Linked DNA regions of Mus musculus: all the other regions are reported to be linked to region 1. Evidence: microRNA targets listed by miRTarBase, many of them from high-throughput screens and not tested one by one. Region 1 holds a microRNA gene; each other region holds the end of a gene's coding sequence.
What was found. Region 1 holds the annotated microRNA mmu-miR-876-5p (UGGAUUUCUCUGUGAAUCACUA, at 1,436-1,457, shown strand). A microRNA usually pairs through its seed, bases 2 to 8, with sites in the 3' UTR of a target mRNA and lowers its output. Matches are read on the target gene's strand: a 7mer-m8 pairs with bases 2 to 8, a 7mer-A1 pairs with bases 2 to 7 and ends in A, and an 8mer does both.

Region 2: the mRNA of Smtnl2 is a reported target of mmu-miR-876-5p. Seed matches in the 3' UTR shown: 7mer-m8 at 1,177-1,183.
Region 3: the mRNA of Smco1 is a reported target of mmu-miR-876-5p. Seed matches in the 3' UTR shown: 8mer at 706-713.

What each region holds. Positions count from the first base shown.
Region 1 is chr4:36,642,631-36,646,878 of GRCm38, reverse strand. Mir876 (microRNA 876) reads left to right here and starts at 1,426; the gene lies at 1,426-1,506. All of the region lies in intron 2 of Lingo2 (leucine rich repeat and Ig domain containing 2), which reads left to right.
Region 2 is chr11:72,387,710-72,391,957 of GRCm38, reverse strand. Smtnl2 (smoothelin-like 2) reads left to right here. Exons shown (of 8, transcript NM_177776.3): 8 at 545-1,844. The coding sequence ends at 671. Mir6338 (microRNA 6338) reads right to left here and starts at 3,202; the gene lies at 3,094-3,202.
Region 3 is chr16:32,273,581-32,277,828 of GRCm38, forward strand. Smco1 (single-pass membrane protein with coiled-coil domains 1) reads left to right here. Exons shown (of 3, transcript NM_183283.3): 3 at 133-1,201. The coding sequence ends at 577. It overlaps Rnf168 (ring finger protein 168), which reads left to right and starts at 3,881. Exons shown (of 6, transcript NM_027355.2): 1 at 3,881-4,248.

The DNA of each region.
Region 1 (4,248 bases):
AGCAGAGAACAGATGACATTTTAATTTCTTCTTTCTACTGTTTTTAATGTGCCCCGTCTGCTTCAAATGTTCTAATCCTATCCTCATTGCTAAATTGTATTGTACCTTCAATTTTTCAACTAAGTAATTTCTCACAGAAACCTCCTGCTATGACTGGATAATGTGGACTCTAAAGCAATCTATGTGGACCCTTTTTAAGGAACACAATTGTTCTTGTTGGTTTTATTTATTTTGTTTTATCTGTTTCTTGAAGCTAGGGTATGTATTGGGTTTGCATTTACTTCCTTATACCTGGCAAGCATTATGTACGTCATATACCAGCCATACGGTAAGTATATATGAATGTGTAAATAATTTTACAATTTATTTTCCACTTAAAGTTTTTCCTTGCTTAGCCAGCCAGTCTGGCCTTACTTCCCTGTTTTACTTGGGAATGCACAGTGATATGTAGTGACAGTTTTGAACACACTAAGATGTTAGATTTGCAAATTTCTGAAAAATATTGTATGTTAATTATTATTGACATTCATGGTATACATACAAAAAGTCAAAATTCTCAAATCCATAGATGGCCTGAGAGATATAATCCTAGTCCATTAAAATTTAAAAATTATTTTCTTTTTAATGATCATAAATTAAAATTCTAGTTTTCTTTTAAATCTTTAGATAAATGTTACCATTGAAGCAAACATAACAAAGGAGAAAAACGAAAGATGTTTCATTCCTGTGAATTTATTAAAGCAGTGCCCATTAGAGATTTTTTTCAGTTACTTTGGTGTTTTGTTTTGTTTTGTTTCTCAAAGCTGAACCTAGTGAGGAAACTAACATATATTTAAGTAGCCTCAGAGAGTTTCAGCCAATCACATGCAGAACTCAAACTTAAGATAGAAAAAAAATCAGATAAAATCTAAGAACTTATGCAAAATACATGTAGGCTAACTGAGACTATTTTTAGAGCAAAACAACCACATCATGTGTATGTTGTAATGTGAGATGCACGTATGAAATGTCATTCCTTATTTTACTTCTCTCCTCCCACAGGTTATATTAATATCCATATCTCAATTCTATGAGCATAGTGGGCATTTTACTTCTCTTTCATCTCTTGGTTGTTCTTGCTCATTCCTCTAATTGATCTACCTTGATACATAATACGGAAAGTATAATTTGGTTTTATGTATTTTTCAGATTTTTTCAGTGTTTCTTATTATTTTACCAATTAAAAATGTATATATTATAATACTATATATATAAAACCTGTTGATTCATGAATGTTTATTCTCTTGCTCAAATGTTGTTAAAATTAAATTAAATTATATTTTAATGCCATATGAACGATAAAAAGATGTCTTGAATAATTTTTCAAACTCTGGGCATGGTAGCATATAATTTTTATGTTCATGTGTACAAGCATTACATAAACTGTCACGTGCTATGGATTTCTCTGTGAATCACTATATCAAATCTAGTGTGGTAGTGGTTTACAAAGTAATTCATAGTGCTTCACAGGTGCTCCTACAGTTGATCTGTATTTTGAAACCTAGGATCCTTCATTGGGCCATTGAGAACAAATCCTTAAGCTATAAGATTTAAACCTTTCATAAACAGTTACTTTGTTAATTAGAGAACAAGAAGCAAAGATATGTCAAGCACTGGAAAATTAAGCTACATATATTGTAACTTGCTTGTAATATAACACCTGAGAAGCTGAGGCAGGAGGATGGCAGCATTTGAGGACTGCCTATTACATATTGCCAGGCCATCTCATATCTCATATATATATATATATATATATATATATATATATATATATATGTATATATATATATATATACACACACACATATATATGTGTGTGTGTGTTTGTGTGTGTGTGTGTATTTTACATTTATGCACAGTCTGTTCTTGTTTTTTTTAGCAACACCTGCCCCAACAATTGGCAGTATGCCCTATTTTTAAAAATGCAGTAGATCCAAAACAAAAGCACTGAATTGACATCTGCACCCATTAATTATAAGTGAAACATTTTGAAATTTAATTCTGTTACTATTACTTGGACAAATATATATATATATATATATATATATATATTAATAAAGAGGAAACATTTTTACAGAGAGCTTATCCAGTGACTTTACTGATTATGCAATTCAAATAGAAATTAATCAGGGAATTTATAAACATCATTATTTTAAAATAATTTTAAAAGTAACTAAATTTTAATACTATTCAAATGATACAGACACAGAATTAGCCAAAATATACAAAATTGTATACTTAATTTGCCATTATTTATCATTAATTCTCTACAAATTTAGCTTCTGTCATCTTTTAATGGCAAAGAAATTTAGTAAGAGTCTAAAGCCATCGTCAATGTTTGAGAACTTGGATTGTGCATCAAGAGAACCAGGGTACAATTTGCTGCACACCTGCATCATATGCATCACAGAAACCAATAAGTTCAGCTGAAGAGATCTGACACTCTCTATCACTCTCTATTGGCCTATGTTGGACCTTACACTAATGTGCATGTTCCCACACACAGATGCACTCATATACATACTCATAGTGTTAGAATAATCTTTAAAATGAGTAAGTTTCACAAGGCTAAAGAGTATAGTTGCTATCATGTTACCTACCAGTTGCTGGGAAACAACAGGAAGTTCATGGTTATTACCCTCATTAGTGTTGTTAAATGTGCTGATTCTAGAAACAGAAACCCAACCTTTCACCATTAGTTTTTCAATCGCTGGTATAAGCTCCAAAAATTTTGTTTAGTTTTGGTATATGAGCTCTTCTATTTGAAGGCTAGAACTTAGGTGTAATCTAAGCTCAGTCATATGGCAACAAGATTTTCGTAGTGATAGATTGTATTTATCTCCGATTTCTTGTGACACCATTACATTCCTAAATGATAATGAACAGGATTCTGAAATTACTTATGAATCATCATTGAATCAATCTATTATTTCTCTTCTGAAGTTATTTTTGTCTTGCTATATTAGAGCTAATACATCTTGTTTACAAGTTTAGGTATCATTACAATGTCCTAACAAATCAAAAAGTTTTTCCATTATACATTAAAAAATAAATCTTAAAAATAAAAATATATGTTACATAAATAATGATACTTTATTTGAGCCTCTGTAATTTAAATAAATCACATATGATGCAGCTGGAGAGAATCCCCACAAAATTATCTCCAATTTTAAAATAGGGTTTGAATGTGTTATCCTAATTTCTTAGGCTTTACTTCAGCATCAGTTATAATTGTCATTATTTTCAATTACAACTGCATATTTCTTTTTCTTAATACTCTATATTTCTAAGTATGTTCTTCATAGCAGTAAAACCATGTTATGATTGAAAATTCCACTCCTCTTAGAGAAGGGAATAAATGAAATAGAGCCAGAATAACAGGTTTTGGGCATAAAGCTGTTCTATAGCTTTGTGATTTGTTACTGTTTTTTAAAGAGATGCTTATCATATTTCCTCTGAGCTAAAGCTTGGTTTTAATGCCAATATTTAGTATTGTTGCTATGTAAATATTGAAGTAAGCGACAGAATTTTCTAAGAGATTTTTAGTTACTAGACCTAACAACAGGGTCACCAAATTTATCAAATAGCCATATATCCAAAACTCTTTTCATAAGTCTAACATCAAGTTGTATTTATATTAATATACTACTGGATGCTTTTATTCCTACTTTAAGTACATATAAGCAGAGTTACAGAAAAGCAGTTAATTTTAAGTGTAGTTTGGATAGAACATAAACTCTAAATTGGACTTGCCCTAAACACTCGTAAATTTTCTAAAATCTATGTGAAAATATATATTTTGAAAGGAGTTTACTAGGCCAACTTTATTCAGAGAAACTAGCAGTATTTATATATTGAGAGAGATTTATCTTGAAGACTTTCTCAATCATGGAAGTAACACAAGTCTACAACATAATGGGAGATGCCAGTAGACTAAGGAACTGGAGTTCAAATCTGAAGGCTTAAACCCTTCTCTTTTTAAAATATTTTTATTGGATATTTACTTTATTTGCATTTCAAATGTTATCCCTTTCCCCTGTTCCCACCCCCCGAAACTCCCTACCCCCTCCCACGCCCCCTGCTTCTGTGAGGGTGTTCCCCCACTCACCTACTCCCACCTCCCTTGCACATGAATCCCCCTATTCTGGGGCATTGAACCTTCACAGGACCAAGGCCCTCTCCTTCCATTAATGTCCTACAAGGCCATCT
Region 2 (4,248 bases), not on the chromosome of region 1:
TAGGACTATGCTGGGCTATACAGCAAATTCCCACCTCAAAAACACAAAACTAGCTGGGCTGTGGTGGCACATGCCTTTAATCCCAGCACTGGGAGGCAGAGGCTGTTCATCTCTGTGAGTTTGAAGCTGGCTGGTCTACAGAGCAAGTACCAGGACAGACAAGGCTTCACACAGAGAACAAACAATAAAATAAAATAAAAACCAAGCATACAGTGAGAGGAAGCAGATGGGTGAAGTTATCATTTTGCCTCAATTTTACATTTGCTTTCACAGTTCTTGCCAATTGTCACGAGATATTGACTTGTGTCATCTCTTTACTTCCGTGTGAACTGCTTACGTGGTTTGTGTCTGTGGGAGTCTGGGCAACGCCCCACGGACTCAGCAGCTCCCAGGGTTCTCTTGGAGACCTTGAATTCCCTTCTGGTGTGCACTTGAGCACCACAGACTCAAGGCGAATTGAGTTTGGGGAGAGTGCTAATAGAAGCTCAGTTGTGGCACTGGTTATTCACGAGGACCATGTGTTGATGGGGCTTCTGTGTTTCAGGAATCTGGCCAACTGTGAGCGCCTCATTGAAGTGGAGGATATGATGGTGATGGGCCGCAAGCCGGACCCCATGTGTGTCTTCACCTATGTGCAGTCGCTCTACAACCACCTTCGTCGCTTTGAGTAAAGCCGGCGGCCCGGAGTGGCCAGGAAGAGACTCTGAGGTCCCTCACGTTCCCCCCATGGCAGCATGATCCACACGAGGGAAGCTGCCTCTCTGGTGTGAGCTGCTATTCGCTCTCTGGCGTGTGACCATGTGCCCCTCACACTCGTTACTGATTAAAAGTATTGATGAGGCTAAGCTGAGCCCCACAGTCCCTCCACAGGCTGGAAGGAGAAGGAAAAACTCCAGAGTCAAAAGAAATTGGTGCTAAGTTATGATCTTCCTACAGGGAGCGCTCATGGTTTCCCTCTGGTGAATTTGATATATTGGCTTGACAGGGTTCCACTGATTATCAAGCTTTCTTTCTTTTTTCCTATCAAAGTACCCAGAGGTTGTTTTTGTTTTTTTAACTTCCTCACACTCTCTCTTTTTTTTTTTGTTTTGTTTTTGGTTTTTCGAGACAGGGTTTCTCTTTATAGCCCTGGCTGTCCTGGAACTCACTTTGTAGACCAGGCTGGCCTTGAACTCAGAAATCCGCCTGCTTCTGCCTCCCAAGTGCTGGGATTAAAGGCGTGCGCCACCACCACCCCTCTGGGCCATTGCCAAGAAACAGTCTCTAGTTCTTGGGAAGAAACAGCTTAGTCAGCCCCAGGTCCTATCTTCCTATCATCTCTTCTCTGTGGGGAGGTGGCAGGATTTCTACCTAGTCCTGGACGGGCTTCTGGTACTCACAGGAGACCCCACAAGTGTCCAGCTAAGGAATGGTTACCTGAGCAGTAACTGAGCAGGAGCAAGGATAGGTCCTTAGGGATGAGAGAGTTCCCATTTGCTCCAGGTATTTATAGAAAAGGATTGCATCTGTACCATTGACCTGTTTGTACACATGTGACCTGTTTGTAAGATGTGGTGGCACTCTTCGCTTGGGTTTGTTATTTCTGTGTGGGAAATGGGAGGAGGGTTGGGCAATAAGAGACGGCATAGATTTAAACAGAGATCTACTGAAATCATACCTTTATTGTTTATGTATTTAAAACCACTTGCCTGGGAGGCTGAAAGCGGCATTTGCTGTCTACCAATGTGCTTGTCCCTCAGCCATCTCTATGTTGTTGAAGGATTGTGAACAGAAAATTTACCCCCTGCCCATCTATCCCTTAGATATTGGCAAATATATTATGATAAAAAGTGGCCCAAAGTTGATGACTTTGAGTGATCATTGTTTTTGGGGTGTGTGTGTGCACGCGAGTGCGTGTTTCTTTCATTTATTTGTATACAATGCAAGGGGTTGGGAATAGAACCCATGTTCTCTAATATGCAAGCAAGCTCTCACCACTGAGGCCCACCTCCTGCCCCTGCCCCTGGGGTGGTCTCTTTCATGGAAGCCCATCAAGGAGTGCTGGTTTAATTTCACAGCTGTTTGGCAGTGGAGTTTGAATAGAAAAACCATGAGAGTCCACAAAGCTGCAGCTCTTCGCTTATTCCTCCCCAAGACTGAAGATTCATTTTAGAATTGAGTTGGATGTTAGCCAGAGACTTTTAAAACCTCCCTTGAAGGACCTAATATGGGCACTTTATTTCATGTAACCCCCTCTGAGTGGGGTCAGCCCTGTGTCCGAGGTGTTGGGAGCTTAGGACAGAATGTCCTCAGGGATCCTGGGCTCTATGACAGAGCTTGCAGGTGGTTTGAGCATTTTCAGTGGCTCTGTTTGCTCAGGCTGTGGCCTTGGTCCATCTTTTGGGTTTTCCCACAGTGGGAGCCGTTCCCTTCCTGGCTCTCTCAACATTTGTAGGCTTGGAGAGCCCTATTCTTAGCAGAGACACATACTGGGGCTTAGGGTTTCAAACTTAAAGCCAATAAGGGCACACTAGGGCTCTATAAACAGCGTGCCTATATGTCACTGAGTAGTTGCACATGGCAAAGCATGCTCTCCTGAGTGGCAGACATGGATTTCTGCCTCTGCACATAAAATATAGCAGGTCTTACTGGATGAGGAATTGCTTCTCTTAAACTGTAGGAACGGTGTCCCTTGTGTCCCGCCTTCAGAACATTACAGACTAGATAGGTTTAGGGTTGGCTCTGTGATGTTCTTGTTTACAATTGTGTGTATGCAAGTGTGTGTTTGATGTAGAATTAAAAGTAATGTTTTGGCCCAGGTGTGGTGGTACTCATTTGTAATTCAGCAGTCAGGAGATGGAGAAAGAAGATTTTAGTTTCCATCCACCTTGAGCTACAGCACAAGAACATGTCTCAAAGAAGGGAAGAGGTATTTTAAAGTTGATTACATCCAAGACCAAGTGTGAGGTGTCAGGGGATGGAGGGAAATGGAAAGTCTTTCAACCTCAAGACTTTTTGAGATTTTATTTCTATAGAATATGTTTCTATATTGCATTTTGAATACATACATATATATGTATGCATATATATTCTACTTTCTTTTCTCCCCCCTCCCCCTGCATCATACATTCTCCCTTCTACTTTCATTTAACATGTACACATATGGTTTTATGTGACTATATAAAACTCAGTAAGCACAAATGAGAGAAACCAGGATACTGGAGCCAGGCATCTTCCGACCGGATTATACGAGAGCTCTCCATTCGTGGAGTTTGAATCCTGGTTGCTCTTTTACTGTGGTGGTGCAAGGTTTTGCATCCCGTTTCCTTTCCTGAGTGATTTCCTGGAGCTGTTCATAAGAATCTTCTGGGGTTTTCCAGATAGAGCCCCTCACCTGGATTTCGTTAGAGCTTATTAAATCTCATCAAATAGCCTTATGCGTTTCCCTGATGGGATCATTTCTCCAGAGCCAAGATGGGGTTTCATTTTTCTGTCAGCTGCTGGTGTTTTTCCATGCAAGTGGGAGCCTATAAGCACTTTCTGAATATGATATAGCATGCGCTGGTCAGAGGAGACCATGCAGGCCAGGTGTGTGTGGGGAACAGTTTGTTAAAGCCAATGCGTTTCACAAATGTGTTCCATGATGAAAGGTTCTCAGCTTTCCCATTGGCGGTGGTCAGACTCCGTAACTGGAGGAGACCGGAGTGAGGGAACACTTTATTTCTGCCATTATGATCTGTTGATGTGACTGCAAGCAACTTGAGAGAAGGGTGAAAATGCTGACTTGGCACACCTGTTCATGGCGCTGCTCCTGCAGATAGGTTTCTCCAGTTGGTGACAGTGGGGCTTCATCCTGGTGACATCATACCCACTCGAGTGGCCTGCTTGGTTCCCACCTTTTCTCTCCTAGCTCTACACTCATATCTTCGAGATTGACTTCTGCCCGGTGATGGATGTCTCTGATGTGGTCCTTTCTGATCTTTCTCATTTTTAATGTTTGGTTCGGACTTGCCTTTGGAGTCTTTGATCGCTTATCTCTTGCTATTTGGACACCAAATAGCCCTTGGCCTTCTTTGAAAGAGCATGCTAAAAATCCGAAGGCTGAGGCTGAAGCGATGGCTCAGCGGTTGGGAGCACTGACTGCTCTTATAGAGGACCTGCGTTCAGTTCTCAGCACCCACATGGCAACTAACCATGTTCTGTAACTCCAAGATCTGACACCCTTACACAGACATGAAGATAAAACACTAACGCACGTAAAATAAATTA
Region 3 (4,248 bases), not on the chromosome of region 1:
TTGGTGCAGGTCATACTTCCGAAATTCGCAGCTGTTTTTTCTAGAGGGTTTACATTGCACCAACATAATCAAATGCAGCTTTTGTTTGTGCATGAAATGTTCCATTTAAGGAGCTTTGCCCGTTTTTCATAGGTTCACCTCAATGGAACTGAATATTGTATACAGCTATGTCATCGAGGTCCTTATTTGCTTGCACACTCGAATGCTTCAGAAACTCCCAGACCTGGTGAGAAGTCTCCCGACCTTAGCCTCTGTCCTTAGAAGAAAAGCCAAGAACAAGCATGTTAGGCTTGTGTGGGAGTCTGTCCTGCAGGAGTACGGGCTGCAGGAGAGGGATGTCTCAGCACTCTGTACCTTCTTCATTGTACATGGCAACAAAGGAGAGCACTATGCTGCCAACGTAAGACGGATGTACATCAAAGATGTTTCCTTCATGATCACCAACATGGTAAAGAACCAGGCTCTACAGGATGGATTGCTTAGAGCTGTTCAGATCATCGAGAAGGGGAAACAAGCACAGGACCCTGAAAACTCAAGGGCACCCCTAAAAGAGTTGATGCCCCCAGTTAAAGACTAACCTGTTACCTTTGACCCAGCAGTTCCACTCTCGGTCATTTGTATTTTTTTTCCCCCAAGACAGGGTTTCTCTGTACGGCCCTGGCTGTCCTGGAACTCACTCTGTAGACCAGGCTGGCCTTGAACTCAGAAATCCACCTGCCTCTGCCTCCCAAGTGCTGGGATTAAAGGCGTGCGCCACCACTGCCCGGCGGTCATTTGTATTTTAAAAACCAAAAAAATGCATAATTTAATTTTTATAGGCTTATTTTATAGCAAAAGTGGAAGGAACATTAAAGAAATTATGACAAATGGATACAATGTACATTGTGTGTGTAGCCATATTTGAAAAAGAAGCAAATATTTTATAATGAAGTAGAATTTGGGGTGTAGCCCAGAGTACATTTTTTTTTTTTTTTTTTGGTTTTTCGAGACAGGGTTTCTCTGTGTAGTCCTGGCTGTCCTGGAACTCACTCTGTAGACCAGGCTGGCCTCGAACTCAGAAATCAGCCTGCCTCTGCCTCCCGAGTGCTGGGATTAAAGGCGTGCGCCACCACCACCCAGCTACATTTTTTTTTTGTATGTATGAGGCCCTGAGTTCAATCCCTGATACCACCAAATACATAATAAAGAAATTTATATGGAATCATTACTCAGATTTGGTGTTTTATTTATAATGTTATATACAAAAAGGGGCAAAAACAATTTTATACACACACACACACACACACACACACAATTTTTTGTTCACGACATAGTTTCTCTGTGTCTGTAGCCTCAGCTGGCTTTAAACCTGGATATTTGCCTGCCTCTGTTTCCCAAGTGCTGGATAGCCATGGCTGCCCAGCATACCTATAATATCTTCAAAGGATACTGTGTATAAGTTTAGATATATCCACTTCTGCAGTGATACTTAAGTGATGTGGGGTTTTTTTGGGGGGGGTGGGGGTAGAGGACTAAGAATCTAAGAGTCAAAGGGAAAGAAATTGTTTTCACTGGCTAGTAGAACTTCTCTAGACAGGACATGACATCATTGTCTCGAATCAGAGAAGCTGTGATTGGCCACAGCACAGGGTCATGAGATCAGTCCTACTGCCATTTCCTCGTTGATGGAAAAGGGAAATGCTACTTTCCCCTGAGTCTCCAACCCCAGACCTAGGCTGTACATACTCTTGCTCCAGCCACACCTAATCTTCAGGGACGCTAGACTATACAGGAGGTGGGACGCTAGACTGTACAGGAGGTGGGACGCTAGACTGTACAGGAGGTGGGACGCTAGACTGTACAGGAGGTGGGATGCTAGACTGTACAGGAGGTGGGACGCTAGACTGTACAGGAGGTGGGACGCTAGACTGTACAGGAGGTGGGACGCTAGACTGTACAGGAGGTGGGCAGTTGATTGGGGTTCAGAATGCAGTGGTGCAGCTTTGGGGGTCATCCCCACACGGAGGTGGGGATTTTAGATGGTTTGCCTTCAAGTCATCCATGCCTCTGTAAGTAACCCACACCCATGCTCCTGTAAGACCAATGAACTCATTGGTTCACCACGCTGGACTTGGTTGGAATCTCTTCTTTGGTCTGTCTTTGCCCTGTCTAGGCGAAACAGACATTTCTTTATATTTCCCTAGGAAGAGTCAGACTGCTTGCTCAATTTGAACATTTTGAATTTTGAATGCCTTTTGAAGGGCAATTAATCAATTGAAAGCATGAAATAATAGGGGTGGAGAGATGACTCAGTGGCTGAGAGCATGTATAGTTCTTCCAGAGGACCAGAGTTCCACTCCCAGCACCTATGTCAGTGTCTCAGCCACAGCTCCAGGACAGTCTTGCTACTTTCTGCCAAGCTTGTGGGCCTTAAGTCGTTAGAAAGGAAGCTGAAGACCTCAGTGGACTGTGACACAGAAAGAAGTATAAATGCCAAGTTGTCACAGATCTGAGGAACAGAAACCATAACCAAGGCAACTCTTTCTTTTTTTTCTCTCTCTTTTTTTGGTTTGGTTTTTCTGAGACAGGGTTTCTCTGTATAGCCCTGGCTGTCCTGGATCTCACTTTGTAGACCAGGCTGGGATTGAACTCAGAAATCCACCTGCCTCTGCCTCCCGAGTGCTGGGATTAAAGGCGTGTGCCACCACGCCTGGCCACAAGGCAACTCTTATGACAATATTTAATCAGGGCTGGCTTACAAATTGAGAGGTTCAATCCATTATCAAGGTGCCAGAGCATGGCAACATCCAGGCAGGCATGGTGCAGGAGGAGCTGAGAGTTCTACATTTTCATCTGAAGGCTGCTAGCAGAATACTGCTTCCAGGCAGCTAGGATGAGGGTCTTAAAGCCCACACCCATAGTGACTCACCTACTCCAACTGGGCCACACCTTCTAATAGTCCCATTCCCTGGGCCAAGGATATGCAAACCATCACAGACTCCAACTCCAGGTCCTCCTGTTTCTGCCTCTGCCTTTGCTACCTAAATGCCTCAATTACAAGACACACGTGTCCATGCCTAGTTCAGAGGTCCTTCCTTCCTTCCTTCCTTCCTTTTTGAAACAGAGTCTCTTACTAAACTCACTGTATAGACCAGGCTGATCTCTACCTCACAGAGACCCTCCTGCCTCTGCCTGCAATGTTTTGGGAACCAGCTGACCAATTGAGGAAGGGTCTCATATAGCCCAGGTTGACCTGGAACCAGTTATGTAGCCAAGGCTAGTTTATAATAATCCTTTTGTGACTACTTCCCAAATGCTGGGATTGATTATAGAAATGGGTCTCTTGTTGAGTTCTTCAGACTCCACATACCAAACCCAATAGGCATTTACTCATGCTAAAGTCTGGGGTAGAGGGCCCAAGCCAAGCACCCCCAAAACAAGAGGGAAAGCAATAACAGCCAAATCTCTACATTGCTGTTTTAGCCAGTACCATAAGGATATCACCCCCACCTTATTTAACCTTTACAAGGATTCTTTGAAACCACAGGTGTAACTCTTTGTTGCTGCTCTCCTTGAGCGTCACTTGTCTATAAGGCCAATATCTGCTGCTCATTCTATAAAATGCTAGTGTTGCAAATAAATGCTAAGAAAAATCTTTAAGGTAAATTTGTTGTAATTTCTTCTTTTAGCACTAAGAACTTTAGAAAGCTTTGTTAGGAGAAGGGTAGCCTAAAGAATACTGAAAGAATAATTACAAAAATTCCTGTTCGGATCTTGGTTTAGAGAGTTACTTGAGTAAGCAAGATTCTGCAGCCTACAGTAGCCGAGCGACCAAAAGCGGGAGGAGTTGCTACTAGCAGGCTAGGCGGGAACGCAGACGCAGCTCCCGGAAGTCCCGCCCGACTGAGCGGTTCCTTGGGGGAAGACGTGCCGTTTTGGCGGGGAATTGTGACGTCCGTGGAGCCCGGGTACCTGCTCCGGCCGCGGCCAGTAGACCGATTGGCAGGACAGCGGGTGCGAGCGGCTGGGTCTCGGGACCCGGGGGGTACCGCGAGGTGTTCCAGAAGCTGGAGCGTGGGCACTGGAGGGCTGCCTCCACCGCAACGGCGAGACGGAAGTCCCGCGGCGGCCCGAGCCCGGATTCCGGGCGGTACCGGGTGCTCTGGGAGCGGCGGTGCCCGGGCTTCCGGCTCTGGCAAGCCCGGCCGCCTCGCGCGTAGAGGCGGGTCCTCACCGCGTAAGAAGGGGAGCTGGATGAGCGCTTGTGTG